Linked DNA regions of Rattus norvegicus. The protein of the gene in region 2 interacts with the protein of the main gene of each other region in a pairwise test. Links are inferred from orthologs where the notes say so. Each region holds a gene or a part of one and is shown on either strand. Other genes may lie near its edges. The genes, in order: Prtfdc1, Mcmbp, Asl and Ddit3.

The links.
Region 1: the proteins of Mcmbp (region 2) and Prtfdc1 interact in binary tests that used the Homo sapiens proteins (3 or more experiments, as listed by UniProt). The two-hybrid records come from large-scale screens. The link is inferred for Rattus norvegicus from reciprocal best matches to the Homo sapiens genes MCMBP and PRTFDC1.
Region 3: the proteins of Mcmbp (region 2) and Asl interact in binary tests that used the Homo sapiens proteins (3 or more experiments, as listed by UniProt). The two-hybrid records come from large-scale screens. The link is inferred for Rattus norvegicus from reciprocal best matches to the Homo sapiens genes MCMBP and ASL.
Region 4: the proteins of Mcmbp (region 2) and Ddit3 interact in binary tests that used the Homo sapiens proteins (3 or more experiments, as listed by UniProt). The two-hybrid records come from large-scale screens. The link is inferred for Rattus norvegicus from reciprocal best matches to the Homo sapiens genes MCMBP and DDIT3.

The regions. Positions count from the first base shown.
Region 1 is NC_086035.1:88,559,884-88,564,016, forward strand, and holds the start of Prtfdc1 (phosphoribosyltransferase domain-containing protein 1), read right to left. Parts: upstream 2,859-4,133; coding exon 2,811-2,858; intron 1-2,810. UniProt on the Homo sapiens protein: Has low, barely detectable phosphoribosyltransferase activity (in vitro). Binds GMP, IMP and alpha-D-5-phosphoribosyl 1-pyrophosphate (PRPP). Is not expected to contribute to purine metabolism or GMP salvage.
Region 2 is NC_086019.1:192,709,338-192,712,898, forward strand, and holds part of Mcmbp (mini-chromosome maintenance complex-binding protein), read right to left. Parts: intron 2,241-3,561; coding exon 2,123-2,240; intron 1-2,122. UniProt on the Homo sapiens protein: Associated component of the MCM complex that acts as a regulator of DNA replication.
Region 3 is NC_086030.1:32,294,622-32,298,720, forward strand, and holds the start of Asl (argininosuccinate lyase), read left to right. Parts: upstream 1-1,286; 5' UTR 1,287-1,547; intron 1,548-4,099.
Region 4 is NC_086025.1:65,000,404-65,004,543, reverse strand, and holds the start of Ddit3 (DNA damage-inducible transcript 3 protein), read right to left. Parts: upstream 2,850-4,140; 5' UTR 2,815-2,849; coding exon of another isoform or gene 2,752-2,814; intron 257-2,751; coding exon of another isoform or gene 215-256; 5' UTR 209-214; intron 1-208. Other genes in the region: uncharacterized LOC128125814 homolog, read right to left, coding at 215-256, 2,752-2,814. UniProt on the Homo sapiens protein: Multifunctional transcription factor in endoplasmic reticulum (ER) stress response. Plays an essential role in the response to a wide variety of cell stresses and induces cell cycle arrest and apoptosis in response to ER stress.

The DNA.
Region 1 (4,133 bases), on a different chromosome or scaffold from region 2:
TTTCCTAACCCTTTCCTTTCTTCAGCACCTGAATTTCCTTCGAATTTTACTAAGTCTTATTGGAGAAATTAACATATGCAGAGGGTGTTTCTGTCATACACTGGTTATCGTCAACGTTAGGGGGCACTTGGGCAGTTCAGCAACTACTCACAGTGCCCAAGCCTCACTCTAGCTTCTTCTCTCCTTATTGACCTCTTGCTATGCCCATGGGTCCTTCATAAGGCCTCTGTAGACACAAATAGATAGGAATATTGTGTTTACAGTTTTTCTCATTTTAGGCTTTTTAGACTTTAGTAATCTAAGCATCCTATGAGTACATCTAGATTTATCTCCTTTTGATTTTTAATAATCTGTGGTGATGGGGATGGGTTTTATATGAGCTACACCTCAAGCTGGATTGTGCCACTTGACTTTGGAAGCATCTAGCATCTATGGTACAGTGGCACTCTAGATTTCACAATTTGAAAGGCGTTCCACATTGCCGTGGTACTGTAAGTAGACTGGCCACGAGGTGGCTATTTGAAAGGTGCTCCTCGAGTTGGGGATTTAGCTCAGTGGTAGAGCGCTTGCCTAGGAAGTGCAAGGCTCTGGGTTTGGTCCCCAGCTCCGAAAAAAAAAAAGAACCAAAAAAAAAAAAAAAAAAGAAGAAGAAGAAGAAAGGTGCTCCTCACTAATGGCCTCTGGTCATCCCCATCCGACTTGCTCTTCCGGCAACATCAGACACTCTTGACGATCTCATGACCCTGGCTAGTCCACTTCCGTCAAACTGTTCCCTAGACATCGACTCCTCTCCTGCTTGCTTTCTCCCATCCAGCGCTTCATTCTTGGTGGGCTTTGTGTCCACCATGTGCCTCTCACATCTGGGGGCGTTCCGGGCGTTTGTTCTTTTTTTTTTTTTTTTTTTTGGTTCTTTTTTTCGGAGCTGGGGTCCAAACCCAGGACCTTGCGCTTCCTAGGTAAGCGCTCTACCACTGAGCTAAATCCCCAGCCCCCCGGGCGTTTGTTCTTCACTCCTTCTTCTTCTTCTTTTTTTTTTTTGTTGTTGTTCTTTTTTTCCGGGAGCTGGGGACCGAACCCAGGGCCTTGCGCTTCCTAGGCAAGTGCTCTACCACTGAGCTAAATCCCCAACCCCGGGCGTTTGTTCTTAACAGTTGATTTTATTTCTCCCAGTTTATTTTATTCCATTCTTCATTTATCCCCCAAACTAACCTGACAATGGTTTTCCAAATCTACCTTAGTACATTCTGGAGTCGTTTCAAGTATGACTTTCAGGTTGCGAACCTTAAAGATGTCATTTGGGAGGCAGTTAGCTTAATGACTTCCTCTTTCATATTTTCTTTTTTTCTTTCTTTCTTTCTTTCTTTCTTTCTTTCTTTCTTTCTTTCTTTTTTTCCCAGAGCTGAGGTCCGAACCCGGGGCCTTGCGCTTGCTAGGCAAGCGCTCTACCACTGAGCTAAATCCCCAACCCCCATCTTTCATATTTTCACCCCCTCCCACCGGGTCTATCATACCCACAGCGACTGGAGTGTTTTTATTGTAAAAGCACAAATCAGAAACTGTGTTCTCCTCTCTGCCCTTGACATGTGTCTCTGTGCCATGGGTCCTCACATGGTTTACCTTCCGTTTCTGTTTCTGATCTTGGGTGAAATGTCACTGCAGACTCTTTGATCATATGGGTAAAGACACTGCTCCCCTCCCCTTTCCAGGAATGGCTGGCTGAACTATCCAGACTGTGTTTTCACAGGGCTTCCCTGTGCCCCTTCCCAGAATGCAAGTTCCAGGAAGAAGAGTTTATCTGGTTACCAGGTGTAGGAGCAGAACCTGGCACGGCAGACAAAAGGCATTCCTCCTTGAGGGAAGGAAGGTCCTGCTGTTTAATTGAGAGCTGAGCCCCACCTTTCAACCTGAACAGTTCTATTTAACTGAGAGGTGTTTCCTTCCCAACCCACTCATTCTAATTAAATCCATTCATTTCCATAAACAGATTAGCTGCGAATTACACGCTGAGCTCTGGAAAGAGGATCTTAATGGTAAATCAGCCCCGCCCACCACCTTCACACCTTTTCACCCCATCCTGGACTCACAACTACCATCCGCTAGAGTTTAATTTCAATATTGTGGGAGCTGGGAGCCCTCGGGCTGACACCTGAATGAACGATCCCTGAAGTTGAAGAGGTTTGGACCTGGCCCCACTTCCATCCTGACACACTACTGGGTTTTTCACACATCAAGTTTGTCTTCCGTCACAGACAAGGCATAGGACACTCTAGCTGCTGGCTTCGGCAGAGCCGCGCCCCAGATTCAGAGTTCCGATTGCATTCACTAGCGCTACTTTGCACCTTGGCTGCCCTGAAGAGTGAGTTCTCAGTGGCCGTTTTCAAAACAGAACTCAAAACTCACTGAAGTGAGGAGGCAGTGCTAAAAGGAAGGCCACTAGAGCTGCGTGCTGGGGATCTTCCTAAACCCCGGCTGGCAGGCTAGAGTCCTTGTGGATAGCAGAAGTGGGGACCCGGTAGGAGGCTGGCTTCCAGGCCAGGAACCCGCGGGGAGGGTGGGAAGGGAGGAGTTATTGGGAACTCTGGATGAAGGAGTGATTTTAGTAGGAGTTTCGTCAGACCGGGTGGAGAAGGGAGGCCTGGATGCGAGAAAACCAGCGGTCTCCGCCCGGAGGAGGAACAAAGCCTTGGCCGGTTCTCTCCCGAACGCTTGTCAGCTAAAGGGTTGGGGGGCGGGAGTGGAGGGGTGCCCCGAAGGGAGGAGAGGGGAGGGGAGAGAGCTAAGGGAGCCGGGAATCCGGAGTTCGCATTTACCACGACGCCTCGCCCGGAGTCTGGCGCCTTCTCACTGCTCCCGGCCATGTCTCTCGCTGGGAACGCCGGACGGACAGCGCCCGGAGGATGTGGGGGCGGGGGGGGGGGATGTGGCTGGGGCTGCCCCGCCCCCAGCCTGCGGGCGGGAAAGCTGGGGCTACAGTCGAGGCCCATTCCCGGGGCGGCGCGGGAGCAGCTGTGGAGCAGCGCCTGATGCACCTGAGCGCGCTCCGGGGAGCGTCCCTGGCGGCCCCCCGCCTGCCCCTTTGCCGGCTCCGCACCCCGCGGGGATATGGGTCAGGCCTGCGATTCGTTCTGGAGAGAAAGCCGTCCCTTGTTATTTTCCTTCTCAAAGCCCATCGCTGCAGCCCCCAGGCCAGCAATTTCCAAGACTCCTCCCTGCCAGATTTTAAATGCACATTTGTCCCCAGTCAATGCATTAAAGAGAGGCAGTGCAGCGCGTTCTGGGCTTTGGAAGTGGGCCGGAGTATCCCGGAGGACTTCAGATCTTGGCGCCCTGCCAGGAGTTGGAAAGCGCCACGAGCCGGCATTTCCTCCGACCAAATCCTGGTGATCCGATGAGCCCAGGGCAGGGACTTTTTACAAAATACTGTATCTGATTTACCATTTTACTCTAATTGTCCTAGGTTGTAGCTAAAGGCAATTGCTCTGCTCTGATTAGAAAGCCTTGTTTTATGAATCTGTTGTTAAACCAACCCCTAATCCCAGGTTTCTTCTAGCCCAGCGACCTGGTCCTTTGTTCTTTCCTCTAAGGTCCTGCTTTCTGTTTATAGTCCTTGGTCTCCCTCATCTTGCCAGAGCCTGCCCACGGCCCACTTTGGGTTTAATAAAGGGTATACATGGGTATAGTTCTTTTGACTCTGTCTTCTCCAAAAGATGTTTGCTAGGATAGAGTATAGCTCAATGATAGAGCATTTGCCTAGGATGTGAAAGGCCACGGGGGTTGTAAACACAGCAACACACACATACATGCATACGTACACGCGCGCACGCCTCAACACAATGGCTTCTTCACTCTTTGGCTAAGATCAAGTGCCAAAAAGATCTATTCGATTTTCGTTTTCTGGCACACATTGGCAAGAGGAATACCGATTGTGTTGCTTTGAAGGGAACAAGTTACCTATCAATTCATGTTGCCCTGAATTGGAATAATTGTGTAATAATATTGTACTTATTTTTGGTGGACCAGCCATGCTCAGCACTTTGGCTGTTAATGTTTAAGCAGCCGAACTGTGGAAGAAGAGGGGTACAAGGTGTGGGCTCCCTGACATTAGTCCCTGGGCTTGGTGCTGGCTGCATCAA
Region 2 (3,561 bases):
CACAGAACCACAAGCAGGACACATGTAATAAGCAGTAGAAGCTGAATGTTCCATTCCAGAGAGAAAAGCACTGAGAAGGGCTGGGGCCAGTGTGCTAAGAGTGACGAAAGGGCAGACAGTCAATGAAATGCAAAATAAGGAAAAGAGACCCTCTAAGCCCTTTCCTCCACCCTCCCTCCCCCAGGTAAAGATGTAATCCTGGCTGCACAGCTGAGACATAGATGGTCTCTGGCGCCATCTTGTGTCTGAGAGTGGTACTGCACCAGCCTCTGCTGGCATCCCTTACACAGGCCCATGCTGCTCCTTAGATTGCCTGTTTTCTATGTAGGAGGACATGACCCCCCAGGCAGTCACCAGTTCTGCTCCAGACTGAGTCTCAGACCCTATTGGAGAGATGGGCATATGTCTTATGCCAGTGTCTGCTATCCCATTTCCAGGGCTTCACTGTTCTGCTGAGAATATTTAAAGCACACACCAGCAATTTGATTTTATACCTCAAAACCAGGAAGTTCTGAGGACAGAGAAGCAATCTCAGGAGACATGGCCTAGGGAACCGCTAAGATCCTATTTCCGGGTCTATGAATGAGTCACGTTTACAGACAGAACAGGCTTTACCACAGAGATGTGCAAACTCCACTGACAGACAGGCTTTCAGATCATGCACCTCAGCTAAGAAACAGACCAGATAAAAACAGCACCGCAGGGGCAAATGTGGAAGCAGAACAGAAAACCTAGGGGTCTCCTGTAGGTTGATGTCTACATGCAGGTGAGGGACAGCACCAGTTAGGTCAAGGCCACGATTGGACAGTAAAATATAAGGTGGGGACAAAGCTTTTGTAAGGCAGGACAGAAGGAGAAGGAGGGAGAATCAAGATGGAGACAGAGGATGACCCAGATCCCGGTGGTCCTGAATTGCTAAGGGAGTTGGGATGGGTTTCTGTAGGCAAATTTATCTTATCTAGTTGGGCAGTTTATATCCTTATCAATTGGTTGTGAGTTTATTGTATTATGGACTGAGATATAAATCTGATGTTGGGTTGCAGTTTGTTGAGTCTTGATTTTAAGGGGTGGTTGGGAGTTTATATCATAACTATTAGGGGGCAGATGTTGGGAACGTAAACAGAGCAGTGGCCGAGCGTTACCAGAGGATAGCTGCTGCTGGGACCAGGGGGTGGATGCTGGGAATGTGAGCAGAGTCCACAGGAAGAGAGCTGCGAGACAGGCGGTCTCTGCATGAAACTGGCATGGCAGAGACTCGCCTTGGGAACTAGATGGTAGAGAGACTGCTGCCAGGCTCAGAGTAGCCTCGGCAGTGTGAGATGGGATGGAGCTTAGCGGGCGAGACCCCTTGCTGACTGAGATGAGAATATCCTGCAGGTGCCATGTGGTCCTACGGTCCGGCTAGCGTGGGATAAAATAATTCCCCCTCTTTTTTTTTTTTTTTAACCAAAATAGTCTATTAATTTAGACACTCAAGAGCACGGCAAAATGCAAGACACTGTCAGTTTTACCACTATTTCCTAATGAATTACTCAACATGTCTTCAGTCTTAATTACTAATGTCAGACATTAGTGAAAGCACAGCCCACTGAATAAGAGGCTCAAAATCCTCAGGACTCTGCTGCTTCTGCAGGGCTTGAAGTGCAGACTCGACAGGCTGTTCAGAAGGACCTGGCTTCACTTCTTAAGTCCCAAAGTGGCCAAAATTTTTAGTTATCAGAGTAAATCCGGTCCTTGAGATCCTGACACAAATGTGCATTCCAGATGCTTCCAGATAGCAACAAGCCCTGGGGCGTGGAGATGGGCCACTTTATTACCTCAGCTGAGAGAACCAGGCTCCTATGATTTAAAGCTTCTTTACACTTCATAATATGCACACAAAGGAACAAACTCACACAGACTGGAAACGTAATTCTAAGGGAGTCACTGCCACTGCGTTAATTTTTAGATTACAGATTTGTGCTGGGTCAATCAGTGAATGCTGGGTGCATTTTAAATTATGTCAATTGGCAGGTCTTGTCCTTTGTAAATGAGACCCACTAGGAACATAAAGTTAATACTCAAGGTGAGTGGAAAACAATTGGGTTTGTCCCACTCATAAGCCTTCATAATATTATCTTACTGCTGGAACAAGATGTTGGATGATCCGATATAGGTGTTCCGTGAAGGTGCTGTTCTGTGGGCAACCACTCAGGTTAACTGTAAATTTTCCCAGTGGAAGTACATCTCTTCTTGTATACCTAGGAGAAGGGAAAGAACACAAAACCAAGGGTAAGATACTGAGACGCCATCATTATAAAGTTTGCAGAAGCAGAGAGATGGCTTAGTAGTTAGAGCACTGGCTGCTCTTCCAGAGGACCAGGGTTCAAGTCCCAGGCCCACGGAATAGCTCACAACCGCCTGTAACTCCAGTTCTAGGAAGATGCCGTCTTCTGACTTCTACAGGCACTGCATGCACAGATATGCAGACAAAATAGCCATACATATAAGGTAAAAATAGACATTTTTTATCTATCAGAACGGCAGTTAAATAATAGCCACTTTGAGGAATGGGGAGAGCATCCCTTATCCAAAATGCTGAGACCTGAAGTGCTTTACAACATTTGCAGATTTACTGGCTAGGCCTGGCTGACATGAGCTGGTGGTCACTGCCTCACCATCTCACTTCAACAGTGTGCCTATGACGCAGGCACGGCAGACTTCCTGAGTTCCGTGCTTTTCCATGAGGGATGTCTAGTCAAGCCAAGACAGAGCTCTGATGTGACCCTGAGCATTACCCGCCATCTTAGCTGCCACCAGGGGACAGGAGATAAGATGCTTTCTATCACAGCATTTATTAAAAAAAGTACAAAATCCTAATGTTTTGGGAAATGGTTACAGTATGGCACAAATCTATAATGAGAGAACATCAGGTCATTAGAAAGCTTAGGAAGAAGGCTGACTATGGTGGCATGCCCTTAATCCTAGCACCCAGGAGACAGAAGCTGAAGGATCTTGATGTAGTTCCAGGCCAGCCTGGTCTACATAGAACATTCTAGGCCAGGACTACATAACAAAACCTATCTCAAAGAGAGAAAAAAAAAAAAAGTATTGTGATAGGCTAACTAAATATTAAATCTAAAAAGCAGGTAAGGATGTGTGTGCTTCAACCACAACTGATGGGCCCACATTACAACATAAACCAAAGAATATGCTCGAGTATTAGATGGGAAAACTGTTGCCCACGTGAAAGATAATTTTCTTCTTGCTTTTCTTTTTGGGGGGGAAAAAAAACCAAAAAACCTGCCAGGTAGTGGTGCTTTAATCTCAGCACTCAGGAGGCAGAGGCAGGTGGACGGATCTCTGAGTTCAAGGGAAGCCTGGTCTACAGAGTGAGTTCCAAGACAGCTCCAAGACACCCTGTCTCAACAACAACAACAACAACAAAAAAAAACAAAACAAAAAACAAAAAAACAAAAAACAAAACAAAAACAAAAACAAATCCCAAACCAACCCAAAAACCCAATATGGTGGAGTGAAAGGCCAGGCCCTAGCTGGGTGTGTGGTGTGCACTTCTAATTC
Region 3 (4,099 bases), on a different chromosome or scaffold from region 2:
TCTGGGGGGAGGGGGAGAAAACCTTGCCTGCTTTCCTGGTTAATCTTAACTGTCAACTTGAAACAGCCTAGAATCCTCTAAAGAAGCCTCAATGATAAACTGTCTTTTACCAAGTTGTTCTATGGGCGTGTCCACGAGGGACTGTCCCGATTATTAAATGATGCAGGAGGGTACCGCCTGGCCAACTGATGGTGGCACAGGCCTTTAATCCCAGCACTTGGGAGGGAGAGGCAGGCCTATCTCTGGGAGTTGAAGGATAGCCTGATCGACAGAGCTAGTTCCAGGAAAGCCACGACTACGCAAGCCCCAACACCCCCCCCCAAATAAATAGAAATAAAAAATAAAAGGGATGAGGGGTTATACAGACCGCGGCAGGTGCCACCATCCATGGACTGCTTCATAAAGAAGTTAGAAAACACAGAGAGTAAACCAGAGAGAGTTCTTGAACTGGTCTGAAGCTTCAGTTTCCTGTCTGAGTTCTTGCCCTGACTTCCCTCCATAATGAACTGTGTCCTGGAAGTTTAAGATGTAATAAACCCTTTCTACCCCTAGATTACTTTTGGTCATGGTGTTTGTCACAGTAACTGAAAGAAAACTAGCACAGCCAGTACTTTCACGACCCTGGGTACCAATTTCCAAAAGAACACGGCGATAACGGATGGCGATGCAGGTCAGTGGCAAAGGCTTTGCCTAGCAAAGTCCTGGGTACCATTTCCACCATTACAAAACAATGATGGCGGTGCTGATGGCTGGGGATCTGACTCAGTGGTAGAGTGTTTCCCCGAGCACATGCAGAGCCCACATCACAAGATGATTGTGACTGGCACGCATCTCAGGGTCACACTACTTCCAGAGCACGTGCAAGGTCTTGGGTTTCATTCCCAGAACCAGAAGAAAGAGAAAAAATAAAACCCCTCTCTATCCTTCCAACATTCCCCTCCCCAAAAGATACCGGAGGAGAGCGGGTTCCAACACCAGCAGGGTCCCTCCCCTGCCGCCCCACCTCCATGCACTTCCGGTCCGTGCACCCCGCCCACCCGCCCTGCTCGCGGGTCCGGAGGTCTAGCCGCCAGCCGCCTCACAGTCCCCAGCTGATTCTGCTTTCCCCTGGACGTGTCGCTTACACTTCCATGTTGCCTCTGCCTCGTCGTACACAACCGCTGGAAGAGAAGAACCTCACGTTACGCCAGCTCTGCTCTGCTCACCGTTTCTGTGTGTGTGCCGCAAGGCACTCTGGGACCGCCGTGGTGCATGCCGGGATCGCTGCAGGGCTCGCCCGGATCCTCCTTAATTCTAGGTGTTCCTACCTTGGTCTAATTTCAGCTTGTCGGGTGTTTTCATAGTGTAGGTTTTGTTAGGGTTTGCCTTGGCCACGTTAAAAATCCCTAAACCAGGCATGCAGCCCCACACCTGTAATCCTAGCACTAGAGAGGCCGAGACAGGAGAATTGTCATGAGTTTCTGGCCAGCCTGACCTACCTAATTACTTTCAAGCCATCCGAAGCTGTTTGAGACCTTGTGTTTAAAAAAACAAAAAACAGAAGCCAGGTATGGTCGCACAATCCTCTAATTCCAGCAAGGGGGAAAGAGGGAGGCAGAGAAACCCAGTCTCAAAAGACAGAGACAGAGCTGGAGAGATAGTTTAAGCACTTAGGAGGCTGAGGCAGGGGGAATGCCTTGAGTTTGAAGACAGTCTGGGCAACATGGTGAGTTCTAGTCAATTTAGACTACGTAGAGATCCTTTTCCCCATACAACCGTTAAAATTTGGGATGGGGAAGACAGATTTTCATTACTTAGCCTTTCAAACTCAGAGATCTGCCTGCCTCTGCCTCCCAGTGCTGAGATTAAAGGTGTGAGCCCCCACTGCTCAGCCATGTTAAAATGGTTTGCGGGTGATTGTGTTTGAGTTTTGTTTTGTTTTGTTTTTTGGTAAGTGGGGGGTGGTGTCTGGTATGATGACACATACCTGTAATCCCTCCACTTTGGAGATGGAGGCGAGAAAGTCAGTTTTTCATAATCCTCTTCAGCTACATGGGGAGTTTGAGGCCACCTGAGGCTACATGAGAACCCTGTCTCATAAAAACCAGTGTGTGTGTGTGTGTGTGTGTGTGTGTGTGTGTGTGTGTGTCCCACAATGGTGTTCATGGTGTTAGTCGGTCAACCATCTTACAATGATTGCCTCCCCCCTCAGGCACTGGTGATTCAGACATGAATAATACACACTCTCCATGCTAGCTGAGAACCCAGTAAGGGGACCAGTGCAGGGCATAAATCACTATGACACACTCTGTTTAGACTCTAGCATAGACAGGAGAATGACTAACATGGACAAAGAGGCGTCCCAAAGCCAGGAGTGTTTGAGGTGTGTGGAAAGAGGGTCGTTCAAAGCCAAGGCTTCAGAGATAGACTCATAGAAGACAGGCTACTGCCTTGGAGAGCCCCACCACAAAATGATTCAGAGAGGAAGGAATGCAAGCAGGGAAATCGGCTGGTACCCGTGTTCAAATGGCCTCCACCTAGGCACCTGCGCAGTGAGCTCAACCTGGTTGATAGCCAGTGAATGTCTTCAACTACCTGGCTTTTGTTTTGGGTTTTGTTTGCTTTGACTCAAGGTCTTGAGGAGCCCAGGCTGGCCTCAGGCTGGCTATGTAGCCAAGGATTCCCTCATACTCTCTATCTTCCTGTCTCCACCGCCCAAGCAGTACTGGGGATGCTTGGACAGCACTTTCTCGCTGAGCTGTTTCCCCACCCAGCCTTCCCTTGCCAAGTGTTTATTTTCTTCCCAGGGACTGCAAAGGCAGGTGATTGTCATGTGAGGCTCGGTGGCAACCCTGTTAACCGGTTGTTCATTAATGTGATCCCTCGGCCAGATCTTGGAGAGCTTTCCCAGACAGATGTTAACGTTTGTCCGAGATGCCTAGATGCGAGATGCCTAGATGTGGCGTCTAGCCCTCACACTTCCTGTCTTGGTGTCTTTAGGCAAATTATTCCTTCTCTCCTAGACTCTCCTTTCTTCACCTGGAGGAACTTGGTGATTATCCGAGCCGCCTTTTAGATGTGCTCGTGAGAATTAAAAAAAAAAAAAACTATCCATATAAAATATTTAACACTGTGCCTATAATACTGTTAGAACTCAAGATATTGCCAGGTACACACATGTCAATCCAGCCCTTGGAAGACTGAGGCAGGAGAATGTCAAATTTCTGGCCAGCCTGAACAACACAGTGAATTCAAGTCTAGCTACATAGAGAGTTCTTTCTTGCCTCAACACACACAACAGAGGAAACATTCACGGTTACTGATACTTTTTTATTCCACTCACATAGAGGTGATGCCTCCCTGGACAGTGGTGGCGCATGCTTTTAATCCCAGCACCTAGGAGGTGAGGCAGGCAGATCTGCGAGTTCAAGGCCAGCCTGGTCTACAGAGGGAATTCCAGGATAGCCAGGGTTACACAGAGCCTGTCACAAAAAACCAAAAGAGAGAAAGGAGAGGAGAGGAGCGGAGAGGAGAGGAGAGGAGAGAGAGAGAGAGAATGAATGAATATGATGATGGTGGTGATGATGGTGATGATGTCTCTAGTTAACTCTCCTAAATATTTTTCATTCATTTTGTTTACTTGACTCAGGGTCTTATATAGCCTAGTCCCACCTTGAACTCACCTATGTAGCTGAGGGAGGATTAACCTGGAACTTCTGACCCTGCTTCCACCTCCTGGGGGCTGAGGATCCAGGCACGAGCCGCTATGCGAGCTTTAAGGAGCCTTAAGGAGCCTTGAGAATCAAACTCAGAACTTCACGCATACTAACAAGCACTCTACCAACTGTATCCCTGGGTTTCTCCTAAGTTTGCTTAAACTTTCTCCTTAGGGAAGAACCAGAGCTTGAGGTTTCCTAGGGGGATACTAGCAGGATGAGAGTGAGACTGTCTGTTCTTCTTACTCTGAAAGGGCTCTACTCTGAGCCATGCCAGCAGTCCCTCATTTCATAGATTCTAAGCAAGAGCTCCGTTTCCGAGCTGTGCCAGAAGTCTTAAGCATTTACAAGGCATGCGAGTTTGACTAAAGTCCCACATTGTGTGACACGGGCACTCTAGCAAC
Region 4 (4,140 bases), on a different chromosome or scaffold from region 2:
GGTGTGGACTGAGAATTGGGAAAACAAACCAGTTGCCATTTTTGAGGCTGACTTTGAGACAAGCCAGCTCTAAAACAACATTATGGGATCAGAGAAAGACATGGTCTGACAGCAAAAGCTGGTTCTGGTCAAGGCCTGGTCTAACTCTCATCCCAGCAAAGCAAGTTGAGCAGCATTAGGAGCTGACTGGGAGGGTGGCTAAGATTACCTGCTTTCAGGTGTGGTGGTGTATGAAGATGCACTTCCTTCTGGAACACTGTGGAGAAAGGGGAAGAAACAGGTCCTTTACCTCTAGCCTCTTACTGGTCTTTCTCTAGCTGGTTTCTTAATTTCTGTCATTGGATTTTGAGACAGTTTCTCTGTGAAGCCCGGGGCATCCTGGAATTCTGGAACTCAACTCTGTAGACCAGGCCACAGAGAGGCTCGTGTGTGTGTGTGTGTGTGTGTGTGTGTGTGTGTGTGTGTGTGTGTGTGTCCCTGAAGCCAAGGACAGGCATGCTTAACTTTATTTTTAGTTGCTGACATTTGTAGTCCTGATTACATAATAGCAAAGTCCTGGCCAACTAAGTTTTCTCTAAATCCAGATAGACCTCAGATCTGCCAAAGTGAGAACTAAAATACAGGGAAGAGAGATTTCAGCAGTATTTGCTTAAACTCCATTCCCATCCTAGCCTCCAGACCTGCCCTGGGATCTCCATCTCTTTTGGTTGTTGAGCAGGCATTCAGCTTACACAAAAGGCCTTTCCTACCAAGGGGGTACAGTTCTTACTAAATGGCAACTATAGGTGCCTAAAGCCAAACATTTGGTATCCTTAATTCCTCCCTTCTCAGATACCACAGCTCAGTCTAAAGCACTGGCAACTTCAATATTCTTTAGAAGTACCCAAAACCTAAATATTTCTCACTTTTTCTCATTATTTCCAGATGTAAACTTACCATGCATTATGCATTTCATTCCCTAGATTATTTTTGGAAGCCTTGAAATCTTTTTTTTTTTTTTTTTTTTTTTTTTTTTAGACAGGGTCTTGCTGTGTAGCTTTTGCTGTCCTGGAACTTACTTTGTAGACTAGCTGGCTTTGAACTCTGATCTACCTACCTTTCAAGTGCTGGGGTTAAAGGCATTTGCCATTATTTCCAGCTAAGATCTCCTGTTTCTATTCTTGTCTTTTTTATTTTCATGGCTGCGGGTTGACCTAGGGCCCTCTACATACTAGGCAAGCAGTCTACTATTGAGCTACACACTCAACCCTTTGTTTTTGTATTTATTTTGAGTTAGGATCTGACTATGCTGGCCTGGAGCTCAGAGCTCTGCCTGCTCCTACCTCTTTGAGTGTTGGAATTAAATGCATGGGGTCTTTCCCCAACCCTTTTAATTTAGGACATTCCTCTGCTCAGATCCCCCAATGGATTCCTGTTTCAGGACTGTTGAAAGACTAGCATCCTGAGAATGCTTGCAAGGCTCTACAGGACCTGCTACTTGAGTTTCCATTCACCACCCTCTCCTGCTTACTCTAGTCCAGCTCACTGCCCTGCTCCTAAGGATACTGGCACACTCATCTCAACCCTTCTGCTCCTTCTCTCCCTTCTATAAACCTCTTCCACATTACCTGCTTGGCTCACAGGCTTGCCTTCTTTCCATCTCACCCACCCACTGAGGCAATTCCTGAATGATAAAACCTCTAGCCACCATCCTGAACTATTTTTTCCCTGCTTCTGTTTTTCCCCCCTTTTGCTTTACATTGAAATGTAAGTTTTATTGAGAACAGTTTCGTCTTTTGCTTCTAATATACCCTGGATCCCCAAATGCTTGGCACATAGTGGGTGCTTATTAGGCATTTGTTAGGAACGAATAGAGAACAACTAAGCCCACTGAGCCCAAAGGCAGAGCTGAGCTGCCTGTCTCTGGGGACTGCAGACGCAATATTGCCCTGAGTGTTTCTCTGCAGGGTTGTCCTCTAGGGAAAACTCCTTGGTCTTCCAGTGTGTGGGACCTGGCTTTCATCAGCAGAGGAGCCCCAGGCCTGAGGGTGCAGAGACAAACAGTGGGCTGGCCTGATGCAACGGTTACAGAGATTAGTTGGGAGACAGGACTGAGGAAAGAAGCAGAGATCAGTCCTAAGAGAAGCAGAAGACCCTGGAGAGATCCCAAGTAATTTCCCATAGTTAAAGAGACCCAGGCTGCTCTCTTGTACGGAAACCCAGAAACCTCTGGGGAAAAGGGAAAAACCCATCTATGCTCCTCCCACCGGCACCCCCACTCGCAAAGATCTGTCAGTCTTTGAGTTGTCTTGAACGTTAGAGACAGCTACTAAAGTGGCCATGTTGGTGGTCCCTGAGGCGCTTCAGCTTGAAAGAGTTGGGGGGAATGAGGCTGGTGGAGAAGAGGTGCTAACAGCCGGAGTCCCCAACATTGGGGGGTGTGTCCTGTTGCCCCACCTTTCCTGCGAACCGCCTAGGCCTAAGATGGCCCGCAAATGGTCAGTACTGAGACAAATTTCCGAAGGCAACCGGAGTCCCTTTGCAGAGCAGGGACCAACCTGAGACAAGGGAACGGGAATGCAATCGCCCAAAGAGGTGGCCTGTAAGCACCATTCCCGAATCAGGAATTACCCGCCTTCACTCGCCCCTCAGTCTACAAACTCACAGTGGAAGGGGTGGGGCTACACCCTCAAGGACAGTTGCCTCTAACTTTGTGGAATAGCTATGTTGGCGAGGATGGGAAAGTAAGGGGTAGACGGAGTCAGTACTCGCCTCTCTCCTCAGGTTCCGGCTGTTATTTTGGCTCTGTCGCTGCCACCCGCTCATCTTCAACATGGTATGATCGACGTATTAGACTCAAGATACTGACCTCTGGAGCGGAGAGCGAGTATCTTTTATGCTATTCGGTCCCTCCTGGGGGGGGGTAGTGTCCAGGAGCCTACCAATCAGAAAGCGGCACGCTGGCACAGGCTCCGCCTCACCCCTCACGTCCGCCACTCAGGAGTCCCGTGGCCCCGCCTCCATCGCGCCCTCTGGCTCGAGAGTCTACGTTATCTCGGACCCGGAAGTGGCTTTGGGTCACGAGGCTTCGCAGAGGAGGTGAGTGAGTCATGCGCGCGCGCGGAGGAGAGTGCGGCGAGGGAGGGGATGACGTGGGGGGGGCGGAGGGGGAGCGGGGATGATGCAATGTTTGGCAACCGGTGTCCGCGCGCGCACGCGCAGGAGACGTCGATGGTGGTGGGAGGTGCTGGGGAGCGGGCGGGAGGGGGGGATGGGGGAGAGAGGAAAGAAGGCGGAGCGCCAGCTCACAGTGTCCAACGGCCCCAACGGCTGTCCTTCCTGAACTTGTCTGCCCACCTCCCATCACCTTTAACTTACTCCTCCATAAAAGACTCATTTTCCCTGGCCCCTCCCAACTAATGGGCACCGAGGCTCTTGAACCTCTTTAAAGTTTCCAATTTGTTCACCTGGATTGACATCTTCTGGAGTCTTTTAAGAGACCTCCTCCTCTTTTAGCCTTCTAACGCTTCCCAAAGACTGAGGTACTGGCATTTCCTTGGTAGTCCATCCGCTTCTCTCAGAAGGGCAGCTTTAACGTTTGTTTCAGAATCGTCCACTGCGTGCCAGAATTCAAGTTCTTTGTAGAGTGTAGCCTCCTGCCTACTTATCCTACCCCTGCTTTGTGTGATGCTCTTATGCCCTTCACTAAGCCCAATACCCACCCTTTTCCTTCTCCAAGATAGCAAGTCCTGTGACTCCCTGCTGATTAGCTGGCCTCATGCCTCTAGGTGTCTGGGTTCACGACCTAGAGACTGGGACGTGCATGCACTTGAGCGCATGATTGCCTGGACTGGGTCATTCTAGTTTAATTTGCCCAAGGAATCTACCGTACTCAGTTGTAAATTAAAGAATGATAGGTAAAGGTAAAAACAGCACTGTGAAGAAAACTTGAGTAAAAGTAAAAACATCTTGCAAAACCTATTTTTTGTGCCATGAAAACAGAGGCCATGTGGTGGCCTATTACATAGTCTGTCGTACACTCGGGAGGGGCAAGCCAGAGTTTGTCTAAGTAGAAACTGAACCAAGACCGGTTGCTATTGGATGGTGCGACAGTGACAGGTCCTTGGCCAGACTGCTCCTTCGCTCCAGACCTTCATTTCC